Linked DNA regions of Coturnix japonica. The protein of the gene in region 1 interacts with the protein of each later gene in a biochemical or structural test. Links are inferred from orthologs where the notes say so. Each region holds a gene or a part of one and is shown in the gene's direction. Other genes may lie near its edges. The genes, in order: DLAT, PDK2 and PDHB.

The links.
Region 2: the proteins of DLAT (region 1) and PDK2 form a complex in vitro, tested with the Homo sapiens proteins (2 studies listed by BioGRID). The link is inferred for Coturnix japonica from reciprocal best matches to the Homo sapiens genes DLAT and PDK2.
Region 3: the proteins of DLAT (region 1) and PDHB form a complex in vitro, tested with the Homo sapiens proteins (2 studies listed by BioGRID and IntAct, with this or other methods). The link is inferred for Coturnix japonica from reciprocal best matches to the Homo sapiens genes DLAT and PDHB.

Annotation. Positions count from the first base shown.
Region 1 is NC_029539.1:5,395,997-5,398,855, reverse strand, and holds the end of DLAT (dihydrolipoyllysine-residue acetyltransferase component of pyruvate dehydrogenase complex, mitochondrial), read left to right. Parts: coding exon 1-84; intron 85-220; coding exon 221-357; intron 358-645; coding exon 646-775; 3' UTR 776-2,288; downstream 2,289-2,859.
Region 2 is NC_029542.1:2,597,449-2,601,661, reverse strand, and holds the start of PDK2 (pyruvate dehydrogenase kinase, isozyme 2), read left to right. Parts: upstream 1-1,275; 5' UTR 1,276-1,360; coding exon 1,361-1,382; intron 1,383-2,011; coding exon 2,012-2,153; intron 2,154-3,217; coding exon 3,218-3,289; intron 3,290-3,448; coding exon 3,449-3,633; intron 3,634-4,213. UniProt on the Homo sapiens protein: Kinase that plays a key role in the regulation of glucose and fatty acid metabolism and homeostasis via phosphorylation of the pyruvate dehydrogenase subunits PDHA1 and PDHA2.
Region 3 is NC_029527.1:9,335,681-9,340,062, reverse strand, and holds the start of PDHB (pyruvate dehydrogenase E1 component subunit beta, mitochondrial), read left to right. Parts: upstream 1-1,499; 5' UTR 1,500-1,563; coding exon 1,564-1,662; intron 1,663-1,783; coding exon 1,784-1,891; intron 1,892-1,964; coding exon 1,965-2,027; intron 2,028-2,104; coding exon 2,105-2,140; intron 2,141-2,226; coding exon 2,227-2,512; intron 2,513-3,098; coding exon 3,099-3,209; intron 3,210-3,807; coding exon 3,808-3,899; intron 3,900-4,351; coding exon 4,352-4,382. UniProt on the Homo sapiens protein: The pyruvate dehydrogenase complex catalyzes the overall conversion of pyruvate to acetyl-CoA and CO(2), and thereby links the glycolytic pathway to the tricarboxylic cycle.

The DNA of each region.
Region 1 (2,859 bases):
AAGGGCCTGGCTTCTATCAGTAAGGACGTGGTCTCTTTGGCAGCGAAAGCCCGAGAAGGTAAACTTCAGCCACATGAATTCCAGGTGAGGAACTACATTTGCTATTACTGCTGCCATTGGCTTCTGTCCATGTTCAGAATGAGCAAAGCCTGTCTTGTGATATTTCAGTCATTCTGCGTGAAACACCTCTTCTGACTTTTCTGTGAATGTCTTCCTGTAGGGTGGTACTTTCACAATTTCCAATTTAGGAATGTATGGGATTAAGAATTTCTCTGCCATAATCAATCCGCCTCAAGCCTGCATCCTTGCAGTTGGTTCCTCAGAGCAAAGGCTGGTGCCAGCTGACAATGAGAAAGGGTAAGTAACCAGAATTCCTCTGGTTCTGCATTCTGCTTCTGGATTCAAACTCTGAAATAACAGCTATAAACACGGTTGTGTTTTTCCCTTGTAGAAAAGGAGTTATTACGGTCTGCTTTCCAGTGTGAACGTTTTGTCCAGTGCCTACAGGGAGACAGAATCTGTCTCCAAGCTCTGTTGTCGTTGCCAGTTCTCTGACAAAAGCAGTTTGGCTTTGTTAGCGTTACCACCTTTGGCAGCAATTTGTAGAGAATTCTGCGAATGTTTTTTGTTTCCTTTCTTTTCCAGATTTGATGTGGCCAGTATGATGTCCGTTACACTGAGCTGTGACCATCGTGTTGTAGATGGAGCTGTTGGAGCACAGTGGCTTGCTGAATTCAAGAATTTCCTTGAAAAGCCAGTAACCATGCTGCTATAATTGAAACATGCAAAGCAAAATGTTCCTGGATCACACTGTTCTGTTTTAAACGAGCTATTTAGACTTTAGTATTCAGACTTATTAAAAGAGTTCCTTTTTTTTTTTTTTTTTTTAATTTTAAATATGTATTATATTATCTGGTAACGTTCTTACCAGTCTGTACAGAGAAAAGGTTTGCAGAAATGCTATTCAAGGCAATATTACAGCTGTACTGTATGTTTATACAGTTGGTTAACTTGCAAACTCTTTCAAAACAGTTTAGCATCCCCGATTTCAAAATGATCCAGGCAGTGTGTGTGCTGCCATCTGTTTCTAAACTATGTTGGATGAGGTGGGGGTGCACAGCAGGTGATTTCACAACCTCTGTTCTCAGAAATTTGAATTGCAAACATCTCTTCACAGGAGTTCAGATGAGATGGTAACTGAAACACAGGAGCTGAATTCCCTTATTCTGTTCTCCTGCTGGGATGGGGTGGCAATGGCAGATGCACTAAAGGGACTGAAGCCGCTGGGAATAATTTCTCAAAGGCCAAGTGTTAGCATTCCAAGTCTCTTTTGGAATTTAGCACTGGTTTGGAACTTCTCAGCTTTGGGATCCCTTCTGAGCACTTTAAAGGTGAAAGAACACCAATACCTGTGGTATCATATCTCAGATACCACAGGGAACGTGCTGTCTTGTTGTAGACTTTCACTTACGTGTGCTTCTCATATGAAGACTCTTTAATTGCTTTTCCTCTTGCTGAGTTAGTATCAGACTATGATGCCATGGAAGTAACTTTTGCAGAATTTTCAAGAGACTTTGTGTGTTGGAACCCATGTAGGCAAATGGCACATGCTCATAATCCCACCCCTGGGTGTTAATCATGTGGTGACACAAACATTTGACAACTTTTTCAGGCATTCTAACATAGGAAGCTCTGCATTAGTCACTGTACTGCAGTTCTTCCCTGAACTGTCTGTGTTGTCCCAGCCTCAGTGAGCAGCAGAATGTGCTATCTGTGTATATATTGTATGTGAGATGTTGGAATTGCTTGTTGGACTTGAGTCCAGTTACCCCAGTCATTGTATCCTGAAAGGGGTGCAGTGCTGAATGTGCTTAAATTCCACTTTCCACATGGAAACATTCATGTAAAAAGGAGGGTTGTGTAGTAACTTCAGCGTGACCTGGAGAATTGAACAGGGGGGAGAAGTGAACCAAAAACTGAACCAAAAACCAAAAACAGATGAAGCTGATCTGTCGTTCTGTGTATCGCATTAAGTACAGTCCCCTGTAAAGTTCTGATACAAAACTCACTAAAGATATTGAAAGAAAATACTGTGGAAATTAAATATTTTTGTGGGAACTATTTAATGTCTGGTTGCTGTGTTAGCTGGTTTTCATGCCTGGCTTAAGCAAAAAAAAAAGTGCATTATGTTTTTGGGTTCTTTTTTAATGTTCTAAAATATCTGGGTTCCAGACCTGCTCTTGTGAACCTACGTTCTATTAAATGTTTTGAATTGACAACTACTAAAACATGTTGCAGTGCTTTTCTGTTGAGTCACGTGTGGCTGTTTGTACCGCTGTGGCAAAGCAGAGCTGTTCAGCCTTTCCATCTAACAGTGACACTCACCCTAATAACCCTCAGCTGTAATCACAGATATCCCAGGTTATCCCATGCTTAATGACTGTCGCACCAAACTTGAGTCTTGAGTCACACAGAACCAAGCCTGAGTCTTCCTACCTTCCTTGCTGCACTTCTCAGCAGCAGCTCAAGTTCTGGCTCACTAAAGCTTTGGCTTTCTCCCTGCAGTAAGAACAGTAAATGACTCTGGAATAGGTTTGTTAGCCTGCAGGTCTATGCCTCATGTGTGTGCTTAGAGTGCTGGTGGTGAGTACACTGCTGCTCGCAGCCTGCAGCAGGCCAGCTCTGATAGCTGCAAATCCCCAGGTACTTCTGTACAGACCTCTTAGGTTACAGAGAAACAAAGGAAAACCTGGCTCTTCATGGTCTTCCTGGAGTTTGCATTTTAAAGTTGCAGCTTTTGTCTTGATTTGTGATGTAACAATCATCACTACAATAACGTGATGTGCGAATTTGTCATGG
Region 2 (4,213 bases), on another chromosome or scaffold:
TGGACGAGCTGGCAGCAGCCAGGACAAGTATTACTGACACCCCCCCCCCAACCCTGCACCGCCCCCTCCAGCCCCCACCCCGATATGGGGCTGTGGGGTGACTTTGCACAAGCACAGCAGCAGCATCGTTGCTCCATCCCTGTGCTCCTTGCACACCCCTTGTGCCTCTTGCACGCTTGGAATGGGGAGGGGTCCTCATGTGTTGCCCCCCCCCCGTTGTGTCCTCCTGAGTGCCTTCCTCCTGCTCCTGTGCTGCCGCTCCCCCCCCCCTTCTATGGTGGTCCACCGCCACTGTTGCACATGGGGACACACTCATTGCCACCCCCCCCCCCCCTCGATGCGCCCCCCAACCTTTGTCTGTGCTCTGGGTTTGGGGTGCCCCCCCCCCAGCTTTACTCGTGCCTTCCTCCTGCCCTCCTCATCCTGCACCTTCAGCCCTTGCTGGGGGGGGGTAGGTGCACATAGGTGCACAATGGAAGCTTGCCCCCCCCCCCCCTTCGCTCCTCAGCAGCTGCAGCCACTATGGGGGGGGCTTGGGGGCTTCACCCCCCCCCCTCCCCCATCCCTCACAGCTCTGGGGGTTAAATTATTCCATGTCTCTGTGCGTTCTCGTGTCAAGCCCCAGAGTGGGGTCGGTACTGGGGTTTGAGGGGGGGGGGAGGTGTCTATGAGCCCCCCGCCCCCCCTTCGGCCATGCTCACGCCTCTGCTGGGCTAATAAAGCCTCGCTCTGGGATTTCTAACCTCTCATCTGCCCCGTTGGTTTTGCTATATGGATGGAATAGGGGGAGTAGGGGGTAAAAAAGGAGGGGTGGGAAGGGCAAGGGGTGCCCAAAGGGGGGGGGGGGGGGGGTGATGGTACCGGGGGGGTGATCCCTGAAGGGAGAAGGATGCTGCAGTTGGCATGTGATAACAAGAGAGAGCGCCCCGTGGAGTGGAGGGGAATCATGCGGTGTGTGCGCGGACCGGGCGGCTTATACAGTCGGGAAAAAGGCGATGGGAGTCGCCAGGCCGAAGGGGTTAATGAGCGCTGGGCTTCCGGGCACGAAGGGGTTAATAAAAAGGGGCGGGGTTAAACGTCGGGGGGCGTGTCTAATATAGGGGCGGGTCCGACGGCAGAACGGACGCTGATGGTCCGGAAGGGCGGTGACTGATCAGGGCCGTTGTTATGCGGCCCGACGGGGACGCCGTGGGCTTTGAGGGGAGCAAGCGGGCGATCGGGGCGACGAGGGGTCGCGGGGGGGGGCTGGGGCGGCCATGAAGGGGACTGCTGAGGTGCCTGGGGAAGCTCGGGCGGCCCGTGGGGACCGGGTGCCACACGATACATCGAGCACTTCAGTAGTTCTCGCCATCGCGCTTTCATGAAGCAGTTCCTGGATTTCGGTCGAGTGAAGACCCCCAAGCTCTGCCCACGACCCCCCCCCCAGTAAGAGTCGCCGATGTCATATGTCCGTTATGTATGTCCGGTCCGTCTGTCCTGTCCCCTCTGCCCTGTAAACAGCTGCTCCGGGGTGGGGTGGACCGCATTTAAACGGCCCCCCCCCCCACTCGGAAAATGGACACGCCCCCCCCCCCAACCAGTAGGGGGGGTCCCATGTTGGACCCCCCCTCGCAGTGGCTGTCCATATATATACCCGTATTGCTATGGCTGCAGGCAGGGGGTCCAACCCTCTTCTATGCCATATGCCCCTCCCAGGTCCCTTCCCTGGGTCTAATTTGTCCCCCCCCCAGTCCCCGTTCTTGGGGTCTATGATCGCCCCCCCCCCCAGGTCCCCATTCCTTGGGGTCTATGTCGCCCCCCCATGGGTTGAACCCCACTCTGATGGCACCCATCGTTCCCATCCCCTATAATCAGGGGCACACTGGTTATACTGGGCTGTACTGGGCTGTGCTGGTCCCCTCCTACCCCCCCCCCCATCCCCAAGCCCTCAGTGCTCCCTGTACTATAAGGGACAGTGGGGGGGGTTCAGCCTGTTTCATGGCTGGCTCTGACCCCCATATCCCCCCCCCAGGCTCCAGCAATGCCTGTGAGAAGACCTCCTTTGCCTTCCTGCGGCAGGAGCTGCCCGTTCGCCTCTCCAACATCATGAAGGAGATCAACCTGCTGCCCGACCGAGTGCTGCACACCCCGTCCGTGCAGCTGGTGCAGAGCTGGTGAGTATGGGGACATCACCCCCCTGTCCCCTATAGGGGTCCGGTCTCATTGCTACCACCTATGTGCCCCCATAGGTCCCGCTAATGTCCCTTATAGGGGTCCAATCCCATTGCCACCACCTACTGTGTGCCCCCATGGGTCACAGTGCTGTCCCCTATAGGGGTCCGGTCCCATTGCTACCACCTATGTGCCCCCATGGGTCACAGTGCTGTCCCCTATAGGGGTCCGATCCCATTGCTACCACCTGTGTGCCCCCATAGGTCCCACTGCTGTCCCCTATAGGGGTCTGATCCTATTACCACCACCTGCTGTGTGCTCCCATAGGTCACAGTGCTGTCCCCTATAGGGATCCGGTCCCATTGCTACCACCTATGTGCTCCCATGGGTCACAGTGCTGCCCCCTATAGGGATCCAGTCCCATTGCTACCACCTACTGTGTGCCCCCATAGGTCACAGTGCTGTCCCCTATAGGGGTCCGACCATTGTCACTTACTAAACGCCCCTATGGGTCCCACCCCTGTCACCAGGTGCCCCCATGGATCCCATTGCTGTCCCTGATGGGGTCCAATCCTATTGCCACCACCTGCCTGGTGCCCCCCTGGGCCTACATTGATCCCACTGTGACTTCTGTCACTGCTGCCCCCCCCCCAGCAGGTCCATGGGGTGCTGGTGGGGGGGGTTGACCCAGGGACAGGACATAGGAATCCCATAGAGCAGCACCCATCTCTTACCCTGGGCTGACAATGGCTGCATGGGGACGTGCAGGGGGGTCCTCAACCAAAGGGTGCTGCCCCATTGTCCTGTCCCTGCTGTCCCCTATGGCTGGGGGGGCTGTGTGGTTGGGGGGGGGGGTGTTCCTTTAAGGTCGGTGCTGGCATCCTGGCCCCACTCCCAGCTGCCATGTGACGAGTTGTTTGTGTCCTCAGGTCTGTGCCAGCACTGCCAGTGTAATGGGGGGGGGCATGGGGGGACAGCAGGGCCTGGCAGTGCCCTTCTATCAATGCTTATGTATGGGGGGGTGGGCACATTGCTGGGGCTGTGGGGTGACCATCTCCTCCCCCAGGTACGTGCAGAGCCTGCTGGACATCATGGAGTTCCTGGATAAGGACCCTGAGGACCAGGCCACATTGGGGCAGTGAGTGTGGGGTGCCAGCGTTGTGACCCCCCCCAAACCCCCATAGCATCACCACAACCCCACTCTGGATTCTCTCCTATAGGATAACCCAGCCCAGATCCCAACCCAGCCACCCACACTGGCTGCCCTATGCTTCATATCACCCCCCCCCCCCTCCAGGTTCACCAACGCTTTGGTCACCATCCGTAACCGTCACAACGACGTGGTGCCCACCATGGCACAGGGTGTCATTGAGTACAAAGATGCTTATGGGGACGACCCGGTGTCCAACCAGAACATCCAATACTTCCTCGACCGCTTCTACCTGAGCCGTATCTCCATCCGCATGCTCATCAACCAGCACAGTGAGCATCCCTGTGTGCCCCCCCCCCTATATTGTGTGTCCCCCCCCCGGTGTCACCCCCACCAGCACTGGGCATCCCCCGTGTATCCCTATAATCCCCCAATGGTCCTGAGCATCCCATTCCCACCCTTGCTGTCCCCATTGGTTCTGGATGGCCCAGTCCTGCTCTGGGTAGCATCTCTTGTTTCCCCCAATGCCCCCCCCCCCCACAAGCCATTATGACCTGAGTGCCCCCACCTGGACACCCCCTATTTCCTGACCCCATAATCCCCCTACCCCAATGGTCCCTATTACTCCCAAGCATCCTGCTGCACCCCCCCCTTCCCCCAACCCCCATGTGCCCCCCCCCAGGTGTCCATACCCCCTTAGATGTCCACCCCCCCCAACCCCTATGTGTCCCCTACCCATGCCCCATCCCTATATCTTACCCCATATCCATCCCCTGTACATATCCCTACCCCCCACCCTTAGGCATGGATGGGTGCACACACCAGTGGGTGTTGGGGGGGGGTAGGGGGTGAATCTAGAGATCCCATAGGGATGATATATGGGCTCTGCCCCCCATCCCTCTCCCTGTGCCC
Region 3 (4,382 bases), on another chromosome or scaffold:
AGGATGAATCCCTCACCTACACACGTCAAGTTTACAATGATTAACACAGTTTATTAGAACGTAACTTCTCCTTATTTTCTCTGCTTCTTTTGGTTAATATTTCAGCCTTCACCTCAGGCAAGAGAGCAAAACACCAACAGTGGCCACTCAGCATTCTCGCTCCTTTATGCCTAATTGCTTCACTATGAATTCCAAGCTCTGAAAGTTTCTTTCCCACACCTGAGGAACAATACAACATCTCAGTTTGGGACTGGGTTCTGAAGCTCCATCTGCCAGATGCTTGAAAATCCCACATCACCATTTGACCCTCCTCATGCAGGAGTCCAAGGACTGCAACTGCACCTGCCCTGCTCCTGCTGGCACCACACAGTCACTCTGCACAGTGTCAGTAGTTGGTTTTACCCACGTATCTTGTTCCATGGCACCAGCAGGCAGCTGTGTGCATGGGGAAACATCTCCCAGCAGTGCTGGATGAAGGCAGGTGTCAGGAGCACATCCTGCACAGCCAACAGTGCTGACACAGGGACCAAGCAGCAGGATGGTGACAAGAATCGTCCCTTCAAACCCAGGCCCACAGGAGGAGTCGGGAACAGCCGCTTTCCATCCCAGAGGAACGCACGGAAGGAAATCTCCCCCTGAGATCGCAATGATTCAGCAAAGGATGCTGGACACGACTGCACCGCTCCACCCGCTGCCCCCAAGTGCCCATCGCCTGGATACCGCTCCCGGCCCCAGCCCGGCCCTCCTGCAGCGAGGGGCAGCCCCTGTTCGAACTGAGGGCCGGGTACAGCCTCACAACATCCCAAACGGGGCCCGGCAGCCCCCAGCCCCAGGTACCCGCAGTCCCACAGGGGGCCCAGCCCCGTTTCCCCCCCCCCAGTGCAGCCTCCGGCCGCTCACAGCCCCGTGTTTCCCTCCCACCCCCCACAGCAGCACAGCACAGCACAGCACAGCATAGCACAGCACAGCACAGCACAGCACAGCACAGCACAGCACAGCATAGCATAGCATAGCATAGCACAGCCCGGCCCGGCCCGGCCCGGCCCCGCCCCTCCTCACACTCACAGTCGCAGGTCCCGGCGCTGAAGCAGAGCCCGGCGATGATGGGGGCGACTGAACCGGGAGCGAAGCAGCCGCCGAGGAGGGAGGAGCGGGGGCGGGTTCTGCCGCGATCCCCTCCCCGTGTCTCCGCCCGCTCCGCTCGGGTGAGGGAGGGAAGCCGCCTCCTTTCACCTCAGGGCCGACAGTGGGGACACCTCGCTCCGCCCCACGCCTCCTTGGCGGGCAGTTGTGTCACTGAAGAGGGGCACACAGATGAAGGGGGGCGGTGGGGGCGGTGCGGTCCCGGCGGCAGGAGGCGATGCCGCGTTGATCGCGCCCCGAGCGGCGCCATGCGAGCAGCACCGAGCGCGGCACGGCCTCACCGCCACCACAGCGCGAGACCGGAAGTGACGCATAAAAAGAGCGCTGGCTGCCAGCGCCAGTTCTCGCGAGAGTTCAGGCAGGGGCCGAGGTAGCGCGGGGGCCGGGCCGTTGCCCGGTGCTATAGAGGACACGGCCAAGATGGCGGCGGCGGCGGGAGCGCTGCGGCTGCTGGTGCCGCGAGGCCGCCTTCTCTCGCCACGCAGAGGCTTCCACCTCTCCGCGCCCGCCGCCATCCAGGTACGGGCCGTGAGGATGGAGCTGGGGCGGGGGGTTCATCCGTACGGGCGGGGTGGTGCGGGTGAGCCGAGGGACGGCCGCCCTGCCCTGCCCAGCACTGCCCGGCTGCCGCTTCCCGCAGGTGACGGTGCGGGACGCGCTGAACCAGGCGCTGGACGAGGAGCTGGAGCGGGATGAGCGTGTGTTCATGCTGGGCGAGGAGGTGGCACAGTACGACGGTGCCTACAAGGTGAGGGAGGGGGGGCCCTGCCGGGGCCGCAGTGCGGGCTGTGCGGGGGCTGACACCGCTCCGATCCTTTCAGATCTCCAGGGGGCTGTGGAAGAAATACGGGGACAAGAGGATCATCGACACCCCCATCTCCGAGGTACGGCGCGGGGCTCCCCCCACAGGGCTCCCCGTGGGCCGAGCTGTGGCGCTTAATGCTGTTTGCTCCTCTTCCAGATGGGCTTCGCAGGAATCGCCGTTGGTGCCGCAATGGTCAGTACGCCCTCAGTCCTAATGAACTGATGTACAAAACGAGCTGCTTTGGTGTTAAAACATATCGTATGGTCTAACTCTGATAGGCGGGGTTGAGGCCGGTGTGTGAATTCATGACGTTCAACTTCTCCATGCAAGCAATCGACCAGGTTATCAACTCTGCTGCCAAGACGTGCTACATGTCTGCAGGAACCATCGCCGTCCCCATCGTGTTCCGTGGCCCCAACGGGGCTTCAGCTGGCGTTGCCGCACAGCACTCGCAGTGCTTCGCTGCCTGGTACGGGCACTGCCCGGGGCTGAAGGTTGTCAGTCCTTGGAGCTCAGAAGATGCCAAGGGGCTGCTGAAGGCATCGATCCGGGACGATAATCCAGGTGAGCACAGTCAGATGACGGCAGTATTTAACTCTCATTTCTGAATGCTTCTTTTCCTCTCCCACCTCATGTAAAAAGATAAAAAGTTTATTCAGCACTTAAGCATTTTGTGCTGTTCTAACCTGCTTGCAGGTACTCATCTAGAAGCTTTGAAAGACACATTTATGAACTCATTGTAAAGGCATTATAAAGGATGAAGATGAGTCAGGAGAAGTACCTGCAGATACAGTACAGTGTAACTCATTTTTTAGAGTTGATGAAGCTTAGATGATAAATTCAGAATCTCATTAAGCAAAATCAGGGCAACCTTCATCTTTCTTTCTCACAAGCACACGTGCAAAATGTAAGGCTTTTTCTGAAGCTAGCAGTTCTACAGAAACATTTCTTAGCCACAGCCTTTGCAGTTTTCCCTTGATCTACCTTTAGAGATGAACTGAAGACAGTATTTAAACTAACTGCGTAGTGAAGTTGATTGACTTTTAATTGTTTGTATTGGTCTTGCAAATATTCTTCTGCGGTACCGTTAATGATAAGTACAGCCTGTTCCTGCAGAGGTATGAATTAATCCAAGTATGTTTTGTTCTAGTTGTGGTGCTGGAAAGTGAATTGCTGTACGGCGTTCCCTTTGAGATGTCAGAACAGGCACAGTCAAAGGACTTTGTTATTCCAATTGGAAAGGCCAAAATAGAAAGGGAAGGTAAGCTGAGAACACAGTGTATGTACCTGTATGTATCCTTACTAACCAAGCTGCCTGGGGACTCTTAGCTGTTCAAAATACTGCTATCATGGGGCACAGGAACACATTTAAATTGTTAAATACTCAAATATGATTTATCCTGTATTGTACTCAATTGTTTGTTCTCAGTTTCTCACTTAAAACTGTACCTCCCTAGAAGGTTTCTTTCTCAGCCTAAGGATGGTGTTGGTGATGTGCAGGGAAGTTCTCACCTTACTATGTCATTTTTGTCCAAAATGCAGAAGATATCATTGTAATTTTTCAGCCTGTTTATAATTTACCAATGAATAGCATGAAAGCGTAAAAAAAAAAATAATCCGAAAAGTATTGAAAACATTATTTAGATCCCTGAATCAAAAGATTATCCTCACATAGTCCTGCTGCCATTCTTCACAGGTATAGAAATACTTAACATTTCATGTAGATGTAAGGAACTTAAATTTGCATGAGAATACTGATGCTACCTACAAAAGAGCCCAAGAAAAATGCTTTTTTGTGTGTGTGGTGGGTTTTTTTTTTTCTGCATTTGTTTCTTCTTTAAAACTTGTTTCTGTTCCAGGAACTCATGTTACATTAGTGGCGCACTCTAGGCCTGTTGGGCACTGTTTGGAAGCAGCTTCTATCCTGGCCAAAGAAGGTGTTGAGTGTGAGGTGTGTGGGGTTTCTGTTGCTTTTCTCTGTACAAGGAAAAAGGCAGAGGGTCACCTTGTTCAGGCTCTGTAGAACATCACTTTATAAACTCCAAGCTTTTGTAAGTGCCTTAACTGCCAGAGTATGTGCATTTCTTGTTTCTGCGTTTGACCTTTTCATCACAAAATCAAGTCAGAACTACCAGAGACTTTCAGATTGATCTGCCTGTACAATGAGCAGAACAATGACAGTATGTAGCAGCATGATTATATACAGTGAGACTCATTAAGCATTTTCCATGCTTGATGAGCCACCAAAAGCCATTCTGAAGCATCTGTCAGGATAAGAAGTAATTTCATTAAGTCTTCTTGTCAAAGTCAGAATAGATTGAAGTGCTAAAGGACACAGTGCCCAAACAGCAGTAAAGGTCACGATCAGATCACAGCAAAACTCACTCAGTGCCTTTTTTTAAGGTTATAAATCTGCGCACCATTAGACCAATGG